2 linked regions of the Danio rerio genome follow. The protein of the gene in region 2 binds, or shares a complex with, the protein of the main gene of each other region. Links are inferred from orthologs where the notes say so. Each region holds a gene or a part of one and is shown on either strand. Other genes may lie near its edges.

The links.
Region 1: lamtor3 (region 2) and lamtor5 share a complex: the UniProt entries of both Homo sapiens proteins name them as parts of the ragulator complex. The link is inferred for Danio rerio from reciprocal best matches to the Homo sapiens genes LAMTOR3 and LAMTOR5.

Annotation. Positions count from the first base shown.
Region 1 is NC_133183.1:26,634,649-26,639,226, reverse strand, and holds the start of lamtor5 (ragulator complex protein LAMTOR5), read right to left. Parts: upstream 2,857-4,578; 5' UTR 2,731-2,856; coding exon 2,696-2,730; intron 2,606-2,695; coding exon 2,544-2,605; intron 1,918-2,543; coding exon 1,800-1,917; intron 1-1,799. UniProt on the Homo sapiens protein: As part of the Ragulator complex it is involved in amino acid sensing and activation of mTORC1, a signaling complex promoting cell growth in response to growth factors, energy levels, and amino acids.
Region 2 is NC_133188.1:12,903,057-12,907,380, forward strand, and holds the start of lamtor3 (ragulator complex protein LAMTOR3), read right to left. Parts: upstream 2,853-4,324; 5' UTR 2,780-2,852; intron 1,829-2,779; exon of another isoform or gene 1,827-1,828; 5' UTR 1,790-1,826; coding exon 1,781-1,789; intron 1,702-1,780; coding exon 1,667-1,701; intron 1,573-1,666; coding exon 1,514-1,572; intron 1-1,513. UniProt on the Homo sapiens protein: As part of the Ragulator complex it is involved in amino acid sensing and activation of mTORC1, a signaling complex promoting cell growth in response to growth factors, energy levels, and amino acids.

The sequences.
Region 1 (4,578 bases), on a different chromosome or scaffold from region 2:
ACACAGAAACCATTTTTCCAGCAGTTTGCAGTATTTTTTATTACAGCAAATTTGTTTTACTTAAAAAAACATCTGTGAAAGCATGTACGAAAAAATCTTATATTGCTGTGATTACCATCTTCTAGGCTAAAAGATGAAACCATTTTGAAAGATGTAAAAAGACAGTGACTGCTAGTCAGTTTTGAAGAAAACACGACACAGCAGGGTTAGTTGTAACAGGGTGTTACAATTAAGCCACACACTGTTGGACACCAATTAAACTAACTGAATATTTTTATTTTTTATTTTTGATAATGTAATGTTGAGAACTTTTTAAATAAACATGATTTTTTTATAGAAAATATATATTTTTTAATAGAAAAAATTAGTTTTATTGCTAATAATGCAAATAAACGCATTTTATAATAATGCAAAAAAAAAATCCAAATGTGTTCATTAAGTGGATAAATAAGTAAATAAACATGCTGTGCTATGTATAACACAAAATAAATTGAGCCAAGTACTGAGGAAATATAGCTACTATTTAAAGTAAACAGAAATTAAATTAACTGTGTGGAATCTGCCTTTGTAAGCATGCGTTACAACTTACCCTCTGTTTGTTACAACGTGCCCCACTGCTGGGGCAAATAGTAACATTTTTGCTCCTGGCACTTTTGGCAATACTGCACAGAAACTGTAGGAGACAGTTTGTGTGTTGTTGGTACAAAAAATGGTTTGTCTAAGCCCATTACTTTGTTCATTATTTGGCCAAAACCAAAAAGTGTTACTTTGTGCCCTGCTCTTCCCTATCCCAGGTCAGACGGTGCTTACTCCAGGTATATCAGTTTCTAAAAATCACAGCTGGTGGCAAGTTCAGTCAACTTAAGAATCTGCCAACCATAAACACACAAGACATTCTCAAAAGAATAGCAATTCCACAAGTCATGGGTGAGAAATTAATGCTAAAAAAAAAAAAAAAAAGAGCGCCTTTTATTTTTTCGTTGTTCTTGTTTAATGGCAAGTTACATTCTTTTAGCATATTGCCAACAAATTTGTGGCTGTGCAGACATTTTTAAAACCGTTTAGTTAAATGTTCAATCTTTATTAACTACTGTGTACAGGAATTATAATGTTAAAATCAATTGATTTACTTTGTTTAAACCCATCCGCATTAACTTTAAAAAAAGATGAATTACATCTATTAATTAGTAATACATATGCCATGCATTATATTGAAATGGTTCCATTGCTTTCATTACTTTTGATTGAATATCCATAATGATAGTGGCAAAAAATTAACCATTACTTAAAAACATTTACTTGATAATAGTGCTTTTTTTAAAATAATAAACCCCCAAAAACTCATAAGAAATCATATGCCTCTCTATAATTATATCCATACTACAAATATCAATGATTCAATGAATCACTCATTAAGACTTGCCGCCATCTATTGGTGGTTTTGAGTGATATTGATCCAAGACAGTTCTAAAGCAACCAAATGACCAGCACAAAATATTAATCCTTGATGAATTAAAATGAATGGAATACTTTCTGAGAAAGTCACACGCCAATTTGATAGTTTCAATACTTATTACACGTCACTATATATACACTTTAGTGACAACTGGTGTGTGTGGAAGAGGGAAGGTATAATGGGATGAATGACTTTCAAAGATTGTTGTTTAACTGACTTTCCCTCATTTAACTTTCTTAATTAATGTCATCGATTTCTGCAGATTGTTTTGTTGTCTCTCAAATCAAAAAATTCTCAAGATACATAGAAATAAGACAGATGCTGGTCAAGAAGCTTTCCTTACCCACAGTCAGACTCCAGGCACACTGTAGGACAGTCGGTGGCATCTTTGGTTAGAGAAGCAGCCTGCTTGGCCAGTACAGATACAACTCCTCCATGTTCATCAGATAGTGAGCCCCGGCCTGGAGATTAAAATATTTGTAATGTCATTGAGAATTACAGTATATTTTCAAGTTCTGGAAACCAAATGGAAAAGAGTCAACTGAGAATCTATATAAAGCACAATTCTATAACCCTATATTTTGTTGAAAAGTTTTAAATTGTATATTGTTTTGCACATGGTAATACACTGAAAAAGCAGGCTTAAAATGCTCAAGTTGAATTAATTTATCAGATTAATATTTTTAATACTACACATGCCATTATAGATTTTACTACTCAAACTATATCTATACATCATTTAATTTTACTTTACATTTTTTTTGCATAATTACATTTGAATAGGCTTGTATTTTCTCCCAGTTAACCATGTTTTTTTGTTTACCATTGTTTCAGTTAACTTTAAGTTGGTCAATAACACAGTTATAAAGTTGTCCACAGTAGACACCCGTTCCCTGTTTTGAGAAACAAATCAAACTAATAAAAATTCAAAACGTTTTACATACCTTCAACACATGTGTAAATATTAAAAGCAATATTAACCTCTTGTTGCAAGTGAAAACCCAGTACATGTAAACCAAGCAAATCATGGTCACCAGAGGAAAACTATACTAAGGGAAGTATTAAGGAAAATATAAAAATTACTTACACCCTAGATTATGTCCTTGAGCGTCTGTGCACAAAACCCCAACAATAGCTGGATTTTTCATCCTAGAGTGAGAAAGGAGATCAGTAAATGAAGACGCAAAACGAGTAACGTTACATGCGTAAGAAAAGAAAGTGGTTTCTTTTTAAACATACGTATCGTCAAGATGCTGCTCCAGTGCACCCTCCATAACAGCGTCCTAAATAAGGCTATTAAACTAATAAGAAACACGAAATGTTCAGAAACTGGCAGCGATGTTTGTTACTTGGATAACTTCCGGGATGTCAGCTGACAGTTTAACACGCGACTTAACACTACGGCGCCCTCTAAGGGACAACAAGCAAATAGGATCTAGCGCCATCTTACTCAAGTCAGGATGGTAGGTAAATGGTCCTCTTTTGTTTGCTGCTAAACCTCGACAAGTAGTCAGTCATACAATATAATTTTTTGGGTTAAACATTTTAATTAAACTAAAATGAACACACAAGACATTCTCAAAAGAATACCAATTATACCACAAGTCCCACAGGAGAAATAAATGCTAAGTAGAAGAGTGACTATTTCTGAACCAAAATGAAAAGCTTGAATTTATTAATATGCAGCTGTTGGAATAAATGAATGTTCCTGCAGCACTGCTATTGACTGATCACCTATAATTCAGAGTCTAGATCTTCTATATCCTCGTTTTTATGTTGAACAAATAATAAATTCTTTACAAACCATTCAATGCTCTAAAAAGCAAGTAGGCTACATGTGGTTAACATTTAGCTGGCATTGTCAATGAGAACTCCCAGAGGAACGTGTGAATCTTCGGTGTTGGTATCTCTCTAAATGACCTTGTCCCCTGACCAGACGCACAATAAAAGACCACCGTCAATTGTGTCTGAGCTCAAGCTCTTTATCAGACAGTCTTTTCCATTTTTAACTCAAGATATTGAAGCACTCTCTTTTATAGTTTGTGAGGTTGGTTTAAGAGCCGGGTTTGACATGAGACACATTTTTTCTCTGTCACATCCATTAACTATATGTTTGCTTAACTATATGCGAAGCATATTATAAAATATACTATTACACAAGTTGTGCAAAGTGCAAAGCATGAATCAGGTTAGCAAAGTCAATATACATGCAAATAAGCTGGCAGAATAATAGCTGCCTGTTTCTGCCTCTCTAGAGCCCATCAGAACAGTTTAATCTTTCCTGACTGGATGCAGCCTTATATTTGATGAATATCATTTTTATAGGGTTAATTTAATTCCTTAACTTCTGTCTATTGATGATCGATTTATTTTTATAAATATAGTTTCATTACAATATTATTATTTTTGCGTGTGGGTATATATATACATTTAAATATATATGGATTTTTAGACTACTGATTTTTGTGCAGTTTAAGTCTTTTAATAAGATATTTTGCTTAATTTATTTTACAGTTTTCCTTGGATTGCTTTCATGCAGCCGTCAACTGAAACTCCACATTTTTAAAACAGTTAAAACACAGGCCTAAACAGCGGCACTCATGGTCAAAATAACACATTTTGGTTGCAAAATGCACATGCCGTGTCAAAACATTTAAAATATGCAACAAAAGCTATTTTAACCTTCAAACAACACAACTTGCTAACAAGTATATGAGCTCTTTCAATTAACCATTACACAATGAACAACAAAATACAAAATACAGACCTCAGTGTGAATCAGTGCACCATTGCTTGCCATTGTAACCTATTGCCAATGCCATTTGTTGTCTTTTTATTTGGGCTGCCTTTTTGCAAAGAATTGGATCCAGAATAAGAAATGCCTTTATTAAATTTATGTTGAATTCATGACATTTTTTCAAACTGTGGCTTAAAACTGAAATACTGTTAAAAAAACAGACAAAAGTAATAAAATACTGTAAATATTAGAGAAAACATGTAAACCAATATACAGTCAAATCTATTGTGAGTAGGACATAGCCACTATTGACCTCCTCCATCCATGCAGGCACAGAACAACACAGACCTTCTACCATTTTTAATGTTTGCAGACTGATTGCTAA
Region 2 (4,324 bases):
CTAAATTGATTTTATAATTAAAAATTCATATCGCTGCTTAGGTTCTTTTTATCGTTCTATTAATTGTTTTTCATTTAAAGTAAGAATAAAATTGATCTCTCAATTAATTTTTCCTATTATTGATTATGCTGATATTATTTATGACATTACCTCTGATGTTAATTTAAAACCTTTAAATACTGCTTCAATTCTTTGTGTCAATTTGTTTTAAGATGTCCTTATAGAGCCCAACATTCAATATTATACGAAACACTTGGTTTGCTTCAACCTAAGTTCTGCAGACAGTATCATTGGTATTTGTTTCTTTTTAAATGTGTTTATTTTAGTTTCCCCTCTTTATTTAAAGCAGCTTTTTGTTCCATTTACCTCATCATATTCGCTTCGTCATATGCAACAGAATTATTTTTTTGTTCCCAGAATTTCTACAGAAAGTGGCCGTAGGTCCTTTCGATACAAAGCTCCTTCCGACTGGAACGATCTCCCTTCTTTTTTTTGGATCAATTAAATCACTTAGTCTTTTCGAGCTAATTTATTTTCTTTTTTGGAAACAACTTGCGAATGTTATTAATATTGACTCCAAATTAAATGTTTATTATTTATTTGTATATCAAATTGTTAGTACTTTTGATTATATGTTTTTGTTTATTTAGGCTTAAGATTGTGGGAAGTGTTTCAGGCGGAGTGTGCTGCTTGTTTGATTGTTAGTTTGTCTTGTTAAGTGTATGTACGTTATGATGTGTTGTACTCTTTGATTTATGAACTTTTTAGGGACCCCCTCGAAAATGAGATGATTCATCTCAAGGGGCTATCCCTTTCAATAAATTCAATTCTTAAACGGAAATACTGAAACAATCAAACACTTTTTCAGTTGTATCTTTTTCTTGATTGCAATTATAGATTGTTGTGCATGAAAATACTCACAACACATGCAAATACAGAAGTGAATTGCAACTAGCACAAACCACATGGAAAATGTGTCGGGGGACCCAAAAAGTATATAGATTGTTCATTCGATTTTATTGAGATACAAATAGTTAACATTAATTCATCAATCGCTGATTAAACATGTGCATGAAAATACTCACAACACATGCAAATACAGAAATGCTCTGCAAATAGCACAGACCACATGAAAAATGTGTAAGGGGCCCCAAAACGTTTATAGATTATTGTATTTTATGGAGATACACTCCCATTGCAGAATCATCCCAATCGATCTAATATTATAAAATCTTTCCAAATAGAGATATTCAAGTAATCTGGTGAAACTGTATTCAAATCGCAAAATAAAAAATTATCGCAATGCTTGATTTTTCTAATATCGTGCAGCCCAACTGAAGACTAAAGAAAGTAATGATACTCACAATTTAACTTTGATTCAAAGGAATAAACTTTTTTTTTGTTGTTGCTACATTCATGTTTTAATTAAATGAAGTAAAGGAAATCTTACTGTTTTTATACATTTGACCAGTAGTATGCACAAAAATGTAAAAATCTGAGATCTGGTTTTCACCTTTGATTACAGGGACCCCATCTCTATCTGTCACCACAATTGCATGAAGTCCTTCAACACTGATGACAGATTAAAAATAAAGAAATCAGCATTCATTACATCTGGCAATGAATGAAATAAAATGTGTCTAAAATACAAAAAGAATGTCTTTACCTTGGTAGTTGTTTATACAAATAGCTTCTGAGATTCTGCAAGAATCAAGTCAAAACACATTATTAGACTCATGAGAAATTCACTACCAGAAAATTAATTTACAAATATACTCACATCTGCCATATTCATTGGACTGATTATGTACGTCGCCTGCAGCACACTCTAGGGAAAAAGTTGAAAAGTAAAGGACATGGCATGAAAATAATTGAGGTAAAGTTGGTTTTATATTCGCACATTCTTCTTAATGGTATAACTTCAGAAAAGTGTTGTTTCCAAATTCTAAATAGTGAAATCATATTAGCAGCCTATGACTATCAAAGTACAACATTGTTCACAGTCAAATAAATAGTGCTAATGTTGTTTTCAAGTCTACCAAAGTCCCTTTAAGGCATACTGTATTATATGTGTTCTATAGTCTTTGGTCATACTTGCACGTGATTTCAGATTGAATATTCAAAGTACCATGGTAAACAACATAGGAAATTGAGGTAAACTTGGTTTTATATTTGCATATTCGTTCAGTGATAACTTGATTTTGTCCCATATATTGTTTACCATGGTACTTTAAAACATTGGGTCTGAAAAATATGTGTAAGAATGACTTCAAAATAACATTACCACTATTTATTTGACTAAAAACAATCGTGTAGTCTGATGTTGACTGCTAATATGATTTCACTACTTAGTATTTGCAAAGAATACGTTTCAGAAATTATTTTATTAAGGAGAATGTCGAAATGTGTGAAAATAAAACCAACTTTACCCTAATTGAAAATTAACCATGGTTTTACTACAAATAAAAGCAAACACCATGGTAACTTTAGTTAATCCAAGGTAAACACGAATTAAGCATGCAACAGTAATAAAGCTATAGTTAACGTATAAAAATTGGTAATCAATACGTAGATAAACCATAATTCCTACACGTTTACTATAGTAAAACCATGGTTAATTTTCGTAGAAGATTATACGACATTACAACAGCATTTTACCAGCATCTTTGGCAACATGTTTAACGTTACTTACTAACTGCAGACATGTCTAATCCAGAAACTGTTATAAACCCAGAAAGCATCTATTAAAGTCATAATACACAAAAGGCAACAGACTTACCATCAACTGAACTCAACGCTTTATAAAAGTTCTTCTCTTGCGTTTCTGTGCGAGCATCACATGACAAAATACATACGCTTTTCCGTGTACGTCATATCCGTTAAAATGTCACGATCAAATTAACGAGAATTATTGTATTTTTCATAATTTTACCTATTTAATTTTATTTTACTTAACGTCTGCCCTCACAGTAACGTAAAAACGATTATTATTGTTGAAGTGTCGCAAAACGTATGCTGTGATATATTGATGTGCGCATGCGTATCTGCAGCTGCTTTTTAATTCATGCAACAAATATGAAAAACATAATAGAGTAATAAAAGTACAACAACACAGTAGGTAAAACATAATAAAATAGACAAACTATTACAAATAATGCTAGGCCTTGCTAATTTAAATGTGTCAACAGATATAACAGCTTTTTTGTTTGTACTCTCCTAATGGTATTTAAATAAATATCTAGTTCTTTAAGTAGCCTACCATTGAGAAAAGTATGGAGGACGAAACCTGCAAAAACAATAAATAAATAAATGAATAAATACGCAAATTATAAATAAATGAGTAAATGAATCCATAAATTCTCGCTTAAATAAAACATTAAATAAATAAATATGCAAATAAAGAAATAAATGTATATAAACAATCCACAAATTCCTGCTAAAATAAATATTTAAATAATTAATAGTGTGGGCAGGTAAATAACTAAAAAAATTACACGAGGGGAATAAGAAAATGCTAAATTAAAAGTTTATTTTTCCTCTCTTTCAAACGTTAATTAAAATAAACTTTTTCTTATTCCCCTCGTGTAACTTATTTAGTTATTTACCTGCCCGCACTATTAATTATGTATAGACTTGTTTATGCAGAAATTTGTGGATTTTTACACACATTTATTTATTTATTATTTTATTTATGCAGGGATTTATGGATTTATTTACTCATTTATTTATTTATTTGGGTATTTATTTAATTACTGTTTTTGCAGGTTTCGTCCTCCATAGAAAAAATTATCAAATTTTTGACTGCTATGCCATTATAAATTGTGAAAAGGATCAATAGAAAAGGCTTTAAGACAAATTAAATGTTTAATTATTCAAGTAGCCAAATTTTGACAGGGAAGTTGAATGAGCTAGCCAGTTTGTTATTTGCCTATATGCCATTTTTTTAAACCAGTTTTACCAGATTTTTATTTTTAATGATGGATAATAAATTTGATAATAAGTTTTTTTCATATTCACTTTTTAATGATAATCACATAACAATATTTAAATTGTATATAAATTGAAAACATTTTTGGTGCATCAAAAATAGTGTGGTTATGATCACCATCCAACAAGCTTATGGAGCAAAGATTAGTTCTTAAATGACGACAATAACTGCAAAAAGGTCCACTTTTTCAGAAAAAAAGAACCACTCTTATTTACAATAGGCTGGCTACAGGCCTGGATATTTATTAGGTAACGCTCCTCTAATCAATATTTTAAATAAACTTAGACCAATAGAAAATAACATTTACTAACCAATTCTAGCTGTACACCTTTAGAC